Linked DNA regions of Astyanax mexicanus. The protein of the gene in region 1 interacts with the protein of each later gene in a pairwise test. Links are inferred from orthologs where the notes say so. Each region holds a gene or a part of one and is shown on either strand. Other genes may lie near its edges.

Region 1 (9,425 bases):
GGCCTAAGCTTAATCCCTTAATGGAATTTTCCCTTTATATTACTTTTATATTTATACTATAAGTAGTTTTACAAGTTTTAAGTTTTAAAGTACTTTTACACTTTTACTTAAAGAGTAAGAAGCTTGAGTTGATACTTCAACTTATACAGACGTATTTTTAACACTAGTATCTATATTTCTACCTACAGAGTAAAAAAATTAAATACTTCTGACACCTTTGTCTGTGTTTATCAGTAAATGTATAATATAGAACATTTTAACTCTGTATAAACACAGCACAGTCCACACAGGAGAACAGCCATTTTACTGTTGTGCCATTTTGTTCCTTCCAACCAGGAACTGGGTAGAGTTCACAATAACAACAAAGAATATTTTGAAACAAATCTGTGGATTATTTGTTATTTATTTGATATTTTCCCAATTGAACTAGTATCTAATGGAGAGACAGAGACATAATCTGCCTTTATTCACTTAGTAAAACGCTACAGAAAGGCTGTTTAAAAGTGTTTTTACTCACCTCGCGCTCACGCGTACCTACAGATACATTCTCTTTCGTTCTTGGCTGACAGCGCCGCCCCTCTCACGAGCACACCAGCGCGAGGCTGAGCTTCTGATAGAGACGCCGCTTCACCGGCAGGGGGCTCTGCTGAGTCAGTTTTCACCATTATTAAGTGTGATCATGGTGAAGGGCTCAGCAGTGAAGCTCTTTTTACAGCACTCTTTAAATAATATTTCTCAAAAAATATATAATAATAATTAATGTAATGTTCTAAACTGTATGCATATGTACAATAATCACTGAACAATTCTAACAAACAACTATGCCATTTTTAATGTGACTCACCAAGAAGCTACAGTTTATGCTTCAACTCAGCCCTGAGCAGTATGATTGCCGGTTGTTTGCTCTATTCGTTTTTCAGGCTTGTTGGACTTCATGAGGCCCTGCGCAGTCTGCATTTTTTTTTGTTCGATTTGCGTCTGCGCCTTCACCACAGGACAAATAAATAATCAAATTGCCAGCGCAAAACTGTATTACCTAGCAACACTAGCTTTAGTACAATTTCTTATTTTTCTTTTAATATCTACGTTATTTAAACGTGTTTAAAAGTTTTGAAAAGGTTTTAATTAGTTTTAAACTGTAAATATTATTAAACTAGTTCATATTATTTAATTTACAGCCTCAAAACTGATTTCTGTTACATTTTAGGGGGACTTTTATTTTTACAGGAAATCGTTTTGGACTTCTGCCAAGTGTTGCCAGAATCACAATGCTCTTCAGGCTTTAAAGGCAGTTCTTGCAGTTGCTGTTTTTGAGCTGCTTGAGCAGATAGACGCCCTGGATCTCTCTTTTACTAAATAATGCACATTATAATAATATGGTGATAATCTTTGTGTCATTCTTTATTTTATTCTTTATTTAAAAATTTTCTCTCTAAATTCTTTGTAAAACTGTTGCTTTGTTGATTTAAAAACTGCAAACAAGAATGTTTTTATTATTATTATTATTATTATTATTATTATTATTATTATTATTATTATTTATAAAAGAAGAAAATTCAGACCTAAATTATATATATTATTAACATATATTAATATACGTTAGAGTAGTTAGAAACCGGTTACTCCTTTCTGATTCACGAGTTGCCCTATCCTGCTTTAGGACCGCCTACCTTATTAACATACAAATGCAGAAATACAGAAATAAAATAATTTTTTTTTAAATTAATTTATATGTGGATTTATTTATTCATGCCTATGTAATTTTTCGTTTAACTGAACAGGGGTAATTGAATTGTTTTCAATATGTAACACGGAGGACGAGGCCGGATGCAAATTCAAGTTGGTTTTATTTGACATAATAAGATAAACAAATAACTAGGATAAAAAAAAAATAAACGCTAAGACTATAAAACAAAGACTATAAAACAAATTACTAAACCAGGTCAAAACAAACAAATAAACTATCAAAGAAACAAACACTATTAAGAAACCAAAACTGAACTCTGTAGACAAAAACACAGATTAACATCCAGACACAGTTGAACAGGACGGCATCAAACAAATAGCAGGACAAAGAACAAAGGAGCATGGGGTATTTATACACAGGCACACACTAGGGACACCTGTGGAGGTAATGAGGGGGCGGAGTTACAAATGAGACACCGAAATGGCTCCCTACTCCCTCATTAGTGTTGCGCTATGTAGGGAGATACTAATAAGTTCACTAATTAGTGGTAAAACAGGAGTGAATTCGGACATTAACTCATCATTATCATGCGCCAGCACCGGTCGCATAAACACACACAGGTGACTCACTGAACTGAGCTCTAAATTAAAGTTAGTGAAGCTCTGAGCTGATCATGAAGTTATTTATCTGCTTGTTATATTTACGCTGTTTAAAAGATGATCCTGACATTACTGAACTACATGAAGAAACTCTTAAAAATAGCAGCGTACACCGGCTCGCACTGTTGCCAGATTGGGTGGTTTCATGCCAAATGTCGAGTTGTGTCAGAAATTGTCAGGAGGAAACGCTGTGATTTGACAGGTGAACAAAACTACCAAGTGTAAAGAGTTTGGAAATTTAACTCGGCGGTGTTGTAGTTAGATATCTAACCCGCAAGAGTCCTGCTGATGGAAATTTGAAGTTGTGTTTATGTTTGTGATTAAATGTGAGTAAGTTATTTTTTTTCTTTCATTGCTTGCGAGGTTGTTTTTATATACTGTTTTTACGTTTTTGTTTCGTGTGTCCAATGATACAAGGAACAAAACACAATACAAATATGCAGATATACTCATTTAAATATCATTTTTTGTAATCAGTGATATTTAAGATATTTATGATATTTTAGTTAAGATCATGTTGGAATAAACCCTGTAATATTGTTAATATGACGAATATCAGCTGTTTGGGTGTTTTCTCAGTAAATGTGTGGATCTGAAACACGTTTTACCCAGTGAATTGGTTTTATCTGGTTTTATCTGCAACCCTGGTGGCTCGCTGTCCGCTCCGTTTCTTCGGCTGTCTGTTGCTTAGTAGCGAGAACCGCAATGCATTAAGCAGCGAAGTTTACTATAAATCATGATGCATTATAGGAGTTTTTAGTGCCCTCAAAATCACGTTCGAACCCCCCCCCCCCTTAAGATTCGGACACTCAAAGAAAAATGGCTGACATACTCAATAGTGCCCTAACTAGTAAATAGGGAGCCATTTCGGTCACAGCCAAGGTGTTAACACTAATGACTAGGGCAGGGCTAGGGCGGGGCTAGGGTGGAGACTGGACCATAACAAAACAATGCCATATGCTCAAAAGCACATGACTGGGAACACAAGACAGGAAAACAGGGCAGGAGCACAGAAAACCAAAAGAGGGAAAAACACAGGACAGACACAGGCTAATGTGTGACACAATACATCTTGAATAATAAAAAGGCAGTCATTAAAAGAAATTACTAAATTTGTTTTATTTCCTAAATAATTAGTTGTAACCCTGTTATCAATAAACATTGTGTGTCTTCTGTTTTCAAAAAAGACACTTGACTGGATTATTGGACTTTAAAGCTCTGTACACACATAAAGGATTTCTGAATTTAAATATGGTTAGACCTTCCTTATTGTTATTTATAAAGATAAATATCGGAAATGCACGTCGTCCTGTGTCTCAAAAACACTATAAACACTATCAGCTTCAGTTTGTTCCGCTGGCTGTTTAATAAAATAACATGATTCATTCTAACTTAAACATATAAAAAAATGCAGGGCTCGTCCGGGATTTGAACCCGAGACCTCTCGCACCCTAAGCGAGAATCATACCCCTAGACCAACGAGCCGGACGGACAGCGTTGAGCTGCAGTAACACCACAATACTGGAGCTGAACTAACGCACAGGATACTTCTATGATAAATGGATCATATACACAACTGATATATTAAGATACACTTTAAATACACCACCCACTCAGCTCAACCAATCAGCATTTAGAAAAAAACAACCACAATTAAAAAATAGCTGTTTAAATGCGTTTAATTACCATTACAGACTGGAACTGCAGGCTTATATGCCTGTAAAGGTTTTTTTTTTTTTACTAGTGCTGTCAGTCGATTAAAAAATGAATCGATTAATCACAATTACGTGCACCTTTTCTTCTTCTTAAGTTTTTAATAATGAATATTTAAATCTAAATAAAATCAACAGTCTTAAATGGCAAAATGAAACCTTATTTATTTATTTATTTATTTATTTTTTATAAAGTAGGCAAATGCATATCGTTTTCAATGAAATTAATATCGCATTGAATTTCAACAATAAAAAAATATTTAATATGGTGCAATTTTAACTACCATTTATTTATTTATTTAAAATAGACAATATCATTCATATTGTGATGTACAAAAACAGCATTGTAAGAGAAAGATAAAAAAATAATAATTAATTTTATATATAATTTTATTTCTAATTTTTTCCCATTTTCTCCCCAATTTACACGGCCAATTACCCAACCCATTCATTAGGACTCCCCCTATCACTAGTGATACCTCAACACACCAGGAGGGTGAAGACTAGCACATGCTTCCTCCGATACATGTGAAGTCAGCCACCGCTTCTTTTCGAGCTGCTGCTGATGCAGCATTACCGAGCAGCCAGCGCGCTTGGAGGAAAGCGCAGCGGCTCGGCTCCAGTACATCAGCTCACAGACGCCCTGTGCTGCAGACATCCCCGTAGGAGTGATGTGGGGAGAGAGCGCCATCTACCCACCCAGAGGGAGCAGGGCCAATTTTGCTCCCTCTGACGCCGGCAGCTTGATGGCAAAGCTGCATGAGCTGGGGTTCGAACCGGCGACCTCCTGCTCATAGTGGCAGCGCTTTAGACCGCTGGACCACTCGGCGCCATAATAATTAATTTTAATTAATTAAAGTGCATTTATTGTTTTAGCAGCTTCTTTGTGTTGAATAATTTTTTTATTTTTATTTTTTCCCCCCAAAAAAAAATATTTCCAATTGACACATACTTTATTCACAAGTGTAAATATTTGACTTTAATGCCAAAATTTTATATTTCTTTTCTAATTGACTGATGAATATTCAGAACAACTAAAAATAATATATGTTTAGAAACTGTAAAAAATTATGACGAAATTACTTTTGCCTCTTGTTAATATTTTGTCGTTATTTTTTTTTTACTAATGTATATGTTCAAGCTGTCTTCTATTATTATGATTATGTTCCAAAAGTTTTGGGTGACGTCACGGTTCGTTCGCGGCACGTGGTCCGCTGCCGACGTGGCTCGCGCCTGGGCGGAAAGAGCAACAGCGCTGCGAGAGCGACACCGGTAAGATCAGCAGCGCTTTAAACACAGAACTGATTAATCCTGATTTATTCCTTTACCTGCTTTTAACCCTGTTTACTGCACAGCGGCGGGTTAAAGAAGAGTACATGCTGCGTTACATCCTCCTGCTGCTGCTGCTGGAGTCAGTCCTGCTGAGCTGGGCTGTCCCACTGTCTGCAGAGCTCAGCTCACTCTTATTATTATTATTAATATGAAGTTTAGCTTCATTATAAGGAGGATGGTGATAATGATGATAAGCTCCAGAGTAGCTGATCTGCAGGAAAACAGCAGGACTGGTCCGAGTCGTTTTAGAATAGTGAACATTTAGGTGAAGTTTAATATTTTATGTTGTTAAAAACTTTATATTGATGCTTTGTAGCTAATTGTCTCTGTCAGCATCTGTATAATCCGGTTCTGTTGTTTAGATTTCGTTTTTATTACCGGTGTATCTTGTTTTAAATGCTCTCATTTACTATGCATTTTAATTTTCAGAAAAGCTTAGGCTTTGGTTGAGTTTAGTTGAGATGGTGGAGATGGGGTGTGGTTTCATTGACCAGCCTCTAGATGGCGCTGTAAGCCAAGTTGAATAGAAGCTATTGAAGCAGAAGAGTGGGTGGTGTAATGGACAACAAAGCTGTGTGTCAACACACACACACACACACACACACACACACACACAAGGCTGTGATTGTATTGCTTAAAAGAACCTTTGATCCAGCCAGTTAGTCAGACTGTTCTATAAAGCTTAGTCACATCCATAATCTAAAATTCAATCTATTGGCCATGTAATTAAAATAACTACTTGATATTGGACATAGGGTTTATGTGTGTATATATATAAAAAATATTTATTCTGTGGTATAGCTCACATTTTATAATGTTTTATAGATACTCTGGTATATGCTTTTGGGTGAAGTTCAGAAAATATACAAAAACAAATTAAAAATAAATAAATTAACCCCTGTGAGGTAAAATGCGTTAACACTGATGAGAATTACATAGAGTCAATATCTGACTCTATCCAATGTTGAATTAACTAAATTAAATTGTAACTCTTGTGGTAGAGTTATTTTAACACTATAGTAAGTGCGACCATATGTGATCTAGGACAGTGTTAAATGTAACACTTAAATAGTTAATGTAACGCTAAATTTTGCTGTGTATAAAGTGTTTACGAATTACATCCCTTTTTCTATACAGTCTCTTTATTTCAGGGGCTCAAAAATAATTGAACAAATGAATCTTACCATAAAAAAGAGAGCAACATTTTCTTCAGCGTGCACATGATTTTCTTTTTTTTTTGCTTGCTAGTTTCACATTTGTGCTCACGAGAAGTTCATTTACACACAGTTCATTTTTGACATTTGACGACTTTTGACATTGGTGTGACGCCATACTGTAAATATTTTTGTATTTACATCCTTCCCTTACTTTCAGAACACCATGTCACAAGAGGACGTAGCGGCAGAAGTGGGAGACACGTCCACACATCCCGACCCTCCTCTCTTCGAGACGTCTTCAGATAAACAGACCCCCAAATCTGCACCTGAAACTAATACAGATGAGCCACCATCTGCTCCCCCGCTGTCACTGGCCGCACCAGAGCCAGAAGCAACCGGTGAAGATGTGGAGAAGCATGATTTAGCCACTCAGCCTGAAGATCCTACACAGGGCCAGTCAGCAGAAAGCACCGGGGATCACATGATGGAATGTGGCGAATCAGTGAGCTTGGAGCCAGATGTTCCTGCTGAAGCTGAGGAAGAGGTACAATTGTTTTGGGTCCACTTTTAGAAATGAAGGAGCTTTTAATGGTTATTTGAGTGATCCCGTAGATGCCACAAAACACAAGGTTAGGGCACCAGGTGGTCCAGCAAACTAAAGCGCTGCCACTATGATAGAGAGATCGCTGGCTCGAATCCCGGTCATGCAGCTTGCCATTGGCTGCCGGAGCCCCGAGAGCACAATTGGCCTTTTTCTCTCTGGGTGGATAGATTATGCTCTTTTCCCACATCACTTCTAGGGTGATGTTGATCAACACAAGGCATCTGTGAGCTGATGTATCGGAACTGTAAATATAGATGTGTTAGATGAGATGAGATATAGATTAGTTTGAAGATTTAATTCTTTTAGGGAATTATAACTTAATAAGTAAGCTTAGACACACCTAATATTTGAATTTTGCTTCTTTAGTTCTATACCGAAGCTACAAGGCTAATATAGCTAACAGATAATGGAAGCTGATGTACACAAATTAGCTGTGTAGTTGAGTAGTTTCTAATAAATTTAATAGCTCTACAGGGATGCACCAAATCTTTAGCAACCTTTGTCTGAAAATTAAAAAATAGTTTTTCTGTGTTCTGTAAAAAAAAAATTATAATAATAATTTTTACCTAAAAACATATTTTTTTCTTTACAGCCATAATTCAATGTTTCATTTAACAATAGTAGCACTGCATATCAGATCTGTTTTTATAGCTGCTCAGCTCGCAGGGAGAGAGCCGCCAAAGATAGCAGAGAAACAGCAAATTATTATTATTTTTTATTCTCAACTTAAATCAAGCATTCAGCGTCACTTATCACGCTTAATATCCATCAACTCTGTTCTTTTCAACTCTTCACTTTACAAGCTGGCTGTTTTTCAGCTGAAAGATGCGAGCTGTACAGGTCTAGAATGATAAATAGATAAGCTAGATAACTTACAACTTACTTTCTCTTTGTACATTTTAATTACATTGACGTTCATAGCACTAATGAGGTACATTTATAAATAGAATAGAGGTAAGTGTCTGATTAGAATAGCTGTACTTAGGTAAATGTATGTTTAGAATGGAGCTGCTAAAGTATATTTACGATTATAGATGTGTTTTGGCTAAGTGGTTATATTTGAGGGAAAGATTCTAAAAGCATCACTGTAATGGATTGTGTGTGTGTGTGTGTTTTTGTTGCCAGACCTCAGACTCGCAGTCTAAAGGTTGGGGTGGATGGAGCTCCTGGGGCAAATCTTTACTGACCAGCGCCACATCTACAGTAGGTGAGTCACCCCATAGCAACCCTGTGGTCATAGATCTGTTACTATAGTAACACACACAGTGGCTCCATCTGTCTTGGAGAACCGCCTAGTGATAAAATCCCATTTTCCTCTAAACCATCCACACTCTTTCAGTATATACTCATTTTTCACTACTACTAGCTCACTGATAATTACTTATTATCTAGTAACTCCTTAATTCCTTAATTTACATACATATTGATTTGAATAGTTTACATACATAACTATTCAATATATTATAATGTTTCAATAAGTACTGATTATTCAGTAGCTCCTAACCAAGTACAAATTATTTAGTATCTACTAATTATACATTAGCGACTAATTGTTTGGTAAGTTCTAACGCTTTAGTATCTACCAAAAATTATTATTCAGTCTATATGAACTATTCAGTAGGTATTAAATATATAGTATTTAGTAAGGATTCAATAAGTAGTAATTATTCAGTATCTATTAGCTATTCAGTTAGTAGTAATTATTCAGTATCTTCTAATAGTTCAATACGTAGTAATTTCAGTTACTACTAATTATTTAGTATCTACTAATTGTTCATTAGCTGCTAACTTCATTAAGTTCTAGGGTTAGTTAGCTAGGGTTAGTTAGATGGGTTAGCTAGCTAGAGCTAGGTAGCTAGGGTTGGGTAGCTAGGGTTAGATAGCTAGGGTTAGCTAAGGTTAGTTAGCTAGGTTTAGTTAGCTAAGGTTTAATTAGCTAGGGTTATCTAGCTAGGGTTGGTTATCTAGGATTAGTTAGCTGGGTTAGCTAGCTAGGGTTAATTAGCTAGGGTAATTTAGCTAGGGTAAATGATCTAAATTAGCTAATTAGCTAGGGTTATCTAGCTAGGGTTGTTATCTAGGATTAGTTAGCTGGGTTAGCTAGCTAGGGTTAATTAGCTAAGGGTAATTTAGCTAGGGTAAATTAGCTAGGATTAATTAGTTAGGGTTAATTAGCTAGGGTTAGTTAGCTAGGGTTAGCTAGCTGTGGTTAGTTAGCTAGGATTAGTTAGCTGGGTTAGCAAGCTAGGTTTAATTAGCTAGGGTTTAATTAGC
Region 2 (8,856 bases), on another chromosome or scaffold:
AAAAATGGAGATAAGTGTTTTTCATAGGACAGCGATGATATCTACAATAGTAATTTACTGTCAGTGAATTACAGAGGATTACAATTTTTCTATTGTAAGTTTTGGCATAAAATACATTAACATACTGAAATTATTCTTTACAATAAACATTTGTACTTTCAGTGTTTAAAGTTTTTATTTGCCAGTGCATGGAGAGAGAGAAGAGAGATACATAGTTTTAGAGTTAGAGAAAAGAGATACACACTTCTAAGAGAGAGAGAGGAAAGAGATACACACTTTTTTAAAGAGAAAAAGAAGATACATTGTTTTTTGAGAGAGAGAGAGAGAGAGAGAGAGAGAGAGAGAGAGAGAGAGAGAGACAGGGAGAGAGAGAGAGATGAAGAGAAAGGCCTTATACAGTATAAAAAGAGACTGAATAGAGGGAGAGGACCTCTATTTCTCTATTTCTAATTCTCACATGATTATTTGTATTGAAGAAAAACTTCACAATCTAAAGTCAAATACTGTAATGACTGTTAAGGTAATTTACTGTTTAATTAAACTGCGTTTGTAGCTCAGTAAAAATGCATTAAAATATTGATTGTACATGTGTTACAGTGATCTGCCACATGAGCACACACACACTAACAAGATAATACTGCTAATATTGGCATTTAATTTACTGACAAAATGTATTTTATCTCAGAGAGACCTTTTAGTTAATAACAGGATCCTATGATGGAAAGTTGCTATTATAATAGAATTTGTGTGTGTGTGTGTGTGTGTGTGTGTGTGTGTGTTGTCCCATTGTCCCAGGTGAAATTGTAAAGGGCAGTTGAGCTCAATGTGTTCTGTAATCCCTCTGACCCACATTTACTAAAATTAAAAACTCATAATTGTGTAATTTCCCTCTTTCTCTAATGAGCTGTTAATTGGGTCGTTTTCCTCCCTAAAGGTTATAGTTTTACTACAGCACGAGATCACACTCAGATAACTCATACTAATCACAACCACATATCTAACATCTTAATGTGCACTCCTTTCAAATATCAGAAATAATATATGGCTTTTGCGCATGTGTATACCTGTATCTATAGTGCTATATAAAAGTTGAGAACCAGTTTACATTTAATGTTTTCCTTTACTCATTTTCTAAATTGTAGATTAATTAAAAAGACATGGAAACATTTAAGGGACACATATGGATTTATGTGGTAAACAGTAAAATAAGCGTTTATCCTCCACATGAATCCCCTGATCTAAAGCTGATGAACTGAGATGATAATTTGAGGTGATTTAAGTGGGATGAGCTGGAGCTTCACAGCGTGAAGAAAAAGCAGCAGCTATTGTTCAGCACCTCCAGAAACTCCTTCTTTCAAGACGCTGAGAAAAATATTTCAGGTGACTCTCCCTCATGAATACACTGAGATTAAAATCACACCAAGAGTGTGCAGATCTGTCCTTAAATATAAATGTGCTACTTGTAAGAACATATTCTGATTTGTTTAACACTTTTTACAGAAAAATGCTGCATGTGTTCCTGTAGAGCTTTAATATAGACGTCAATATTAAATTTACAATGTAAATTTGTGGTATATATATATATGACAAATATAAATATAATACACACATATATATATATATATATATATAGAGAGAGAGAGAGAGAGAGAGAGAGAGAGAAACAGAGAGAGTACTTCCAATTAATAATCCCATATCAATAATCAAATCATCAAATCAGTTCTCTTTAAAGCCTTCATATATAAAGCATTATAAGTGTATATGAAGACATATAAGTGTATAAATATATTTAAATAAATATAATATAAAATAAACATAACTGTCTAAATTAAAAATAAAAAGTAAGAATAACAAATTTGCAAAAATGTAGAAATGATTCATATATATGCCCATGCTGGTGAAGCAACTTGGTCTCACTGGTACAACATATAATAAGTGTGTATATAACATAAGTACATGTAATTACACTTTTGTATATATTTAAAGGTGAAAGAAGTGAAAGGAATAGGATCTGTCTGAAGGTGCAGCGCTGGCCTCTAGTGGACAATATAAAACACAGCACAGCTTTTAAAGGAGTGATTTTATACATATTAATAAAAACATGCATTAAAAACCTGATCACTATTAATAACACACATTTACTCTCAGAACACTTCACATTCATTATGATGAGTGTCTACACACCCCCATCTATGGACACACTCTCAGTCTTGCTGATACCTATAACACTATTTTGCACTAGTAGTTCATTCACAAGTTCATTCATCTACTGTTTACGTATCTGTCGCACTGCTAAATTTTAATTATTATATAACTGTGTATTTGCACTTTCTGTATGGCTGACATCAGTTATCCTCACTTTATGCACATCAGCTGGTGTTCACTGTATATTGTGTTCAACTGCACTACCTCCATTACACACACACACACACACACAAGACTGTACTTTTATACTTTTCATTTAATTTTTTTATTTCATTGTATTTATATGTATCGTTATATTTTATCTTTTTGTAACTTTGTGTACTATACATACCTGCTGCTGGATGCCTAGAATTTCCCCTTGGGGATCAATAAAGTATCTATCTATCTATCTATCTATGAACTAGTGCTGTCAAGGTTAACAAGTTAACACACAATTAATCTGTAAAATTAAACACATTCATTATTAATACATTAATCACATGACAACAATACATAAAACACATTAACAAAGCCTGGTAATGTATAATCGGTTTCATTCAGCCATGTAAACACAGCGTCAGTACTGTTCCGAGGTCAGTAGGTAGATTACTTTTTATTTAGGATTAAACAGGGCTCATTTCTATAGCAATAATAATTGTGACACAATATTTAAAAAATGTGATATTCATTTTCAACACATTTTCAATATTTGACTTGCATCTTGCATATCATTTGTTTTATTTTAAATCCAGTGTGATGGAATGCAGGCCAAAATCACAAATTGTCATTGTCTCACTGTACAAATATGTATGCGCCTAACTGTACTGTATCGACCAAGTATACTGTGATATAAAATCTTGTGAAATAAAATTTCAATGCTGAAGTATGGGTTAAATCACACACACACACTGCTTTTGAAACAATGAACCACATCATCCTTATCTCTCAGTTAGAGAGGTGTTGGTATTCAAGGCACCCCTTTAGAATGTTTTCTGTCCTATTTGTCTGACAGAAGTTGGTGATATTGTGAAAAACTCCAGCAAAATCGAAATCACCCACCTTAGCTTCTGTAATATATTTGCATTGTACTAAAATACATTAATATTCAATGGACATATACAGTGGTATGAAAAAGTCTGGGCACCCCTGATCATTTTTATGATTTTTCTTTATAAATCATTGGTTGTTTGGATCAGCTATTTCAGTTAAATATATCATACAGCAGATGAACACAGTGATATTTGAGAAGTGAAATGAAGTTTATAGGATTTACAGAAAGTGTGCAATAATTAATTAATTAAACTAAATTAGGCAGGTGCATAAATTTGAGCATCCCAACAGAAAATTTACATCAATATTTAGTATTTACTCTTTCTATAGCTTCCAATCAGATTCTGGCTTCTGGTTAAAGGTAAGCTTTCATCCTACAAAACATGGTCTTTGTTTCTCCTAAGGTTTCTTCCTCCTAATGTAAGGGAGTTTTTCGTTGCCACTGTCACCACAATTATTGGCATTACTGTGGTGCTGCTCATAAGAGGCTTACACCAGTTTTCTCTGTAAAGCTGCTTTGTGACAACTTTTGTTGTTAAAAAAAAGGCTATATAAATAAATTTGAATTGAATTAAACATTGTTTTCAAGAATCTGCTGATATTGACTGGAATCCATGTGATCCTCAACTTTAACAATATTCCCAGTTTCTGCACTGGTCCCACAACCCCACAGCATGATGAACCACCACCAGATTTTACTGTGGGGAGCAGTAAAGTGTTTGTGTTGAAATGCTGTGTTCTTTTTCCTCCATGCATAAATAACTGCCCTCTACATAATTTATTCCAAAATGAAGCTGGCTTGCCTAAATGTGCTTTAGCTTTATCTTTACCTCAAGCGACTCTGTTTGTGGCGCAGAAAAGGCTTCTTCTGCATTTCTCTCCCATACAGCCTCTCCTTGTGTAAAGTGCACTGAATAGTGAATAGTGAACGATGCACAGTGACTCCATCTGCAGCAGGATGATGATGTAGGTGTTTGGAGCTCTGGAGGTCTGTGGGTTGTCTATCTTCTCCTCTGTTTATCTGAGATTTTTCTTGTTCTGTCACTTCAGGTCTTAACTTGAACTGTGTCTGTGGTTCTTCCATTTCCTCACTCTGTTCCTCACAGTGGAAACTGCAGCTGAAATCTCTGAGATTTGAGCTTTTTGTATCCTTACTCTAAACACCATGATGTTAAACAATATTTGAGAGTTGTGTGTTTTGAGGCTCCCATGTTGCTGCTCTTCAGAAAAGATGCAAAGAGGAGGAAAACTTGCAATTGGCTCCTTAACCCTTTCTTATAATTGGATTCACCTGTGTATGTAGGTCAAGGGTCAGTGGGCTTACCAAACACATTTTGTGTTACAATAATTAGTGCTAAAGATATTCAAATCAATAAAATGACATGGGTTTGGTTTAAATTTGGTTTAAATAATTATTGCACACTTTCTGTTAATCCTATAACTTCATTTCACTTCATATCACTGTGTTCATCTGCTATATGATATATTTAACTGAAATTGCTGTTCAGAACAACCAATGATTTATAAAGAAAAATCATGAAAACAATCAGGGGTGCCCAAACTTTTTAATACCACTGTATGCAGCTGAAACAGGGAGCCGAGTGCATCCCAAATTTATAAACTTTAACATTTTATTATAACATTAAAGTCATTATGGCTTTTAGACAAATGTGTTTTGGGGAGGAGGGGGATTAGAGCACTATAGGACTCTAGGAAGCGGCCTAAGCTTTTGTTCTTACTAGCTTTATTTTTTCCTCTTATATTACTTTTACTTTTATACTTTAAGTAGTTTTGAAAACAGTACATTTACACTTTTACTTAAATAGTAAAAAGCTTGAGTTAATACTTCAACTTCTACAGAAGTATTTTAAACCCTAGTGTCTATACTTCTACCTACGGATACTTTTCACACCTTTGTTTATCTTTAAAAATCTGACAAAAAAACAAGGTACAGGTAGTTCGTATGTGCGTGCGCGTGCTCGTGCCTGCGCTCTCCACTGCTCGTGCTCGCGCTCGCTGGTCTGCTCGCTCTCGTGCAGTTCCGGTTGCGTGGCGGAGGCGGTCTGTGTGACGCAGCAGCTGCTGGAGCTCCGGGACGCTCGGCTGTTTTTATTGTTCCTTTAATAAAAGCGACGCGCAGAGAGAAACAACAGAGCCGCAGAGATAGAGAGAATAGAGAGAGAAAAGAGAGAGAGAGAGAGAGAGAGAGAGAGAGAGAGGGATAGAGGGAGAAAAGAGGAGAAACACAGAGAGAGAAAGAGAGAGAGAGAGGAGAGCTCTGTGTTCTGCTGGAGAAAGCTGCTGCTGCTGCTGCTGCTGGGCTGTATTAGCGGAGGGCGATGGCGTACGCGTACCTGTTTAAATACATCATCATCGGGGACACGGGTAAGATCTTAACACTCCCTTACTGCCTCACTCACTCCTCTACTCACCCCTCGGATCACTCCCGGGGTGAGACATGGGCTCACAGTGGAGAAAACGGGGTGATTATTGCTCCTACTTGAGCTGTTTGCTTGTTTTTTTTTAAAACGTGTTACACCGAAAACTGCAGCTGCCGAATTGTGTGACCCTAGAGGGTGCTGTTCTGCTATATCCGAGTTCCTTACGCAGACTACGTAAGTTAGCTATTTAAAAGAGTCGGATATGCTATATTAATAACAACATGATAAAAAATTGTTGTTTAAAGAATTTTGCATCACAAGTACAAGCCAAAAAAAATTGAAAAAAAAGATTGAAAAAAATCAATACAAATAAAAGATTATTACATTAGGATTAGGATGTGATAATAAAAAATTATGCATTTAGATATAATACAAAAACGACAAGAAGACAGACGAACTAGTACAGTACTAGTCAAGCCCAAAAGTAAAATAAATATATGTTTTAAAAATGTTTAAACATATTAACTAAAGATTTTGGTATTCCAGATCTATTATAATGTTGTAAGTCACTCGTAAAGCACTTTTAAAGAATGTGACAGAAGTGCAAATTAAGCAAAAAAAGGTATAGGTTTATTAATGGATTGATTGATTGGATGATTAAATAAAAAATAAAAATATTTTATGTGAAGAATTGAGAGGAAAATCTTTTTATAACATCCACAAGAAGCAGACTATCATACTTTAAATTATATTAACAATAAAAACTAACAAAAAATAAATATTGCATTTGTATCGTTTTATCATTTTATTGGATGTTTTTATTGTTATATTTTAATTGTTGTTTTTCCTCTGTTAAAGTGCAGACAGGCTTAATCATAAGGGGTTACCGATTCTGACAGCGGCCTTTACGTGGACAGAATTCGGCAGATCACAGATTTCGGTGTAACACGTAGGTTAGAAAATTGACGTGTAGAAGGAAAAATAAGCAACCTAAATTTGGGTGGGTTACACATTTTAACAGTAAAACACGCGTTTAAACAAACTGCACGGCTGTCAGAGTGGGACATCAGTGAAAACTGGGTGAAATTAGGTGTTATTTACTGCCTGCTTTATTTCAGACTGGGTGGGGGAAGGAGTTAGCCAGCATGCTAACGTTGACTAGCGCAGTCTGTCAGATTCTGCGCTAACAGAATATAGAGAAATGTAGTATAAAAACATATACACACATCTTTAGACCCGTTTTCCTGGGTTTAAGCAGATATTTATGTGCGTGTCTGTCAGAAACTGCCTGTTTATGGCTTCGTGTGTGATGCTAAGCTAACGTTAGCACCGCTAGCTAATCGCTAGTTTAGGCCACAGTGGCAGTATTTAGCTTTAGCATTAGCTTAGCGTTAGCCTGTCTGTCAGCAGATGTGTGTGAAAATGGCGTTTAGTGAGTCTGGCTTTCAGATGTGCGGCTCAGATCTTCTCAACAGGCTTTATTTATCAGCTCAGATGATGTGGAAGTGTAGGTGAGACTCTGAGGGATGGGGAAACGCTGATTCCCCGGGTCTGACTGTGGGGAGGATCTGTAAGGAGATGCCAGGCAAGGCCCTGCCAACCTGGACTGGCACTGGTTCTCCTCACTAGGGCTGTACGATATGAGCAAAAATTCATATCCCAATACAGTACATTTCATATCCTGATATACACGATATATACTACCACTCAAAAGTGTCTTTTACCACACAAAAGTGGTTATTTTTTCTTTTCATGTTTTTTTACATTGTACATTTTTTAAGACAGTTTGAAGACTGTCAGTAAAGATATATAGGAACACATGCTGAATTAGTAGCACATTTATCTTTGAGGACAGATCTTTAATCTCAGTGTCTTCATGAGGGAGAATCACCTGGAATAGTTTTCACAGCGTCTTGAAGGAGTTCCTGGAGGTCCTGAATCTTAAGCTCAACTCAAATCACCATCTCAGATGATCAGGTTTAGAATAGGGGATTGTGGAGGACTAACACTTTTTTGCTGTTTACCATGTCATTCCGTACATGTTTTCCCTTCTTTTTATGTATTTAATATTAATCTACAATGCAGAAAACCTTGTAGAAAAAACGTAGAATAGGAGGGTGTGTCCAAAAATTTGACTGGTACTGTATATCACGATATATCACATATACTGATATAACACTCAGAAAAAAGTATGTTTTCAGATTTTATTGTATTTTTATAAAATATTTTATTGTATTTTGTATAAAATAGTGATGCACAATGGTATCAGAATTAAATCGATTTCGGATAATAATTACTTCCTCTCTTTTTATAATCGGCATCAGCCGGTTTGGCCGATATTTCAGCCCAGTATTTTTTTGTTTTTAAAAAGGTAAAAAGTTTAAGTTTAAAGCTGTGAACAGACTATGTAAGGACCAGTTAGCTAAATACATTTGAAACCCAGAAAAATGTGAAACCCAAAATATGAAAGCAAATTTTTCATTTTATTGTTTGCATTCAGTTAGATTAAGGCTACAATGCAAAGCAAATGAATGTTACGTTTGTTCCTAGAGGTATACCGGAGTGTTTAGACTGTTAATAATAAATGTGTATATCTGAATTAGTTTTGGAAGATATATACATGTGTAACATCGAATATCTGCATCTGCCCAGAATTCATACATTGTTGCATTCATATTTTCAACTACACTGAAATTGTGCATCTAAATTACAGTCAGCATCATGAGTCAAATCACTTTTATATCATTTCCCTGACCTGCACATATTCCAGAACTCATCTGCTTTAACTCACCCTCCTTCCCTAAAAGCAGGTATTAATGATCTGATTAGTTGATCAAGTGTATTTGGAGCAGGAAAATCTCAAAGTGTGCAGGACAAAAATGATCAGGATAGAGAAACTGTTCTTTGAAGACAGAAGTTCATACTGAAATTCTTTAACTTAATTTAACTTAATTCAAGCCTGCAGAAACATGATGCAGTAGTGGTGTATATGTGATGTAAAGTGTCCCAATTTCGATCTCAACACTATTGCCACCCTATTATTTCCTATATGGCAACATCATTGAAGTGTACATCTCAAAGAAGACGTTAGGGTTTGGTGCAAGAATTAGGACAGAGTACATCGCTAATGCTAACACCGCATATTTAGTGCAGTAAAATGCTACATGGCACCATTCTGTGGTCACCCAAGTAACGTAAAGCCTGCAATAAAGTGTGTATTTTGTGACGTAATACTAAATGA

Evidence for each region.
Region 2: the proteins of fam114a1 (region 1) and rab2a interact in binary tests that used the Homo sapiens proteins (3 or more experiments, as listed by UniProt). The two-hybrid records come from large-scale screens. The link is inferred for Astyanax mexicanus from reciprocal best matches to the Homo sapiens genes FAM114A1 and RAB2A.

Annotation. Positions count from the first base shown.
Region 1 is NC_064432.1:6,772,076-6,781,500, reverse strand, and holds the start of fam114a1 (protein NOXP20), read left to right. Parts: upstream 1-5,235; 5' UTR 5,236-5,330; intron 5,331-6,764; 5' UTR 6,765-6,770; coding exon 6,771-7,091; intron 7,092-8,276; coding exon 8,277-8,358; intron 8,359-9,425. UniProt on the Homo sapiens protein: May play a role in neuronal cell development.
Region 2 is NC_064425.1:41,315,735-41,324,590, forward strand, and holds the start of rab2a (ras-related protein Rab-2A), read left to right. Parts: upstream 1-5,271; 5' UTR 5,272-5,573; coding exon 5,574-5,619; intron 5,620-8,856.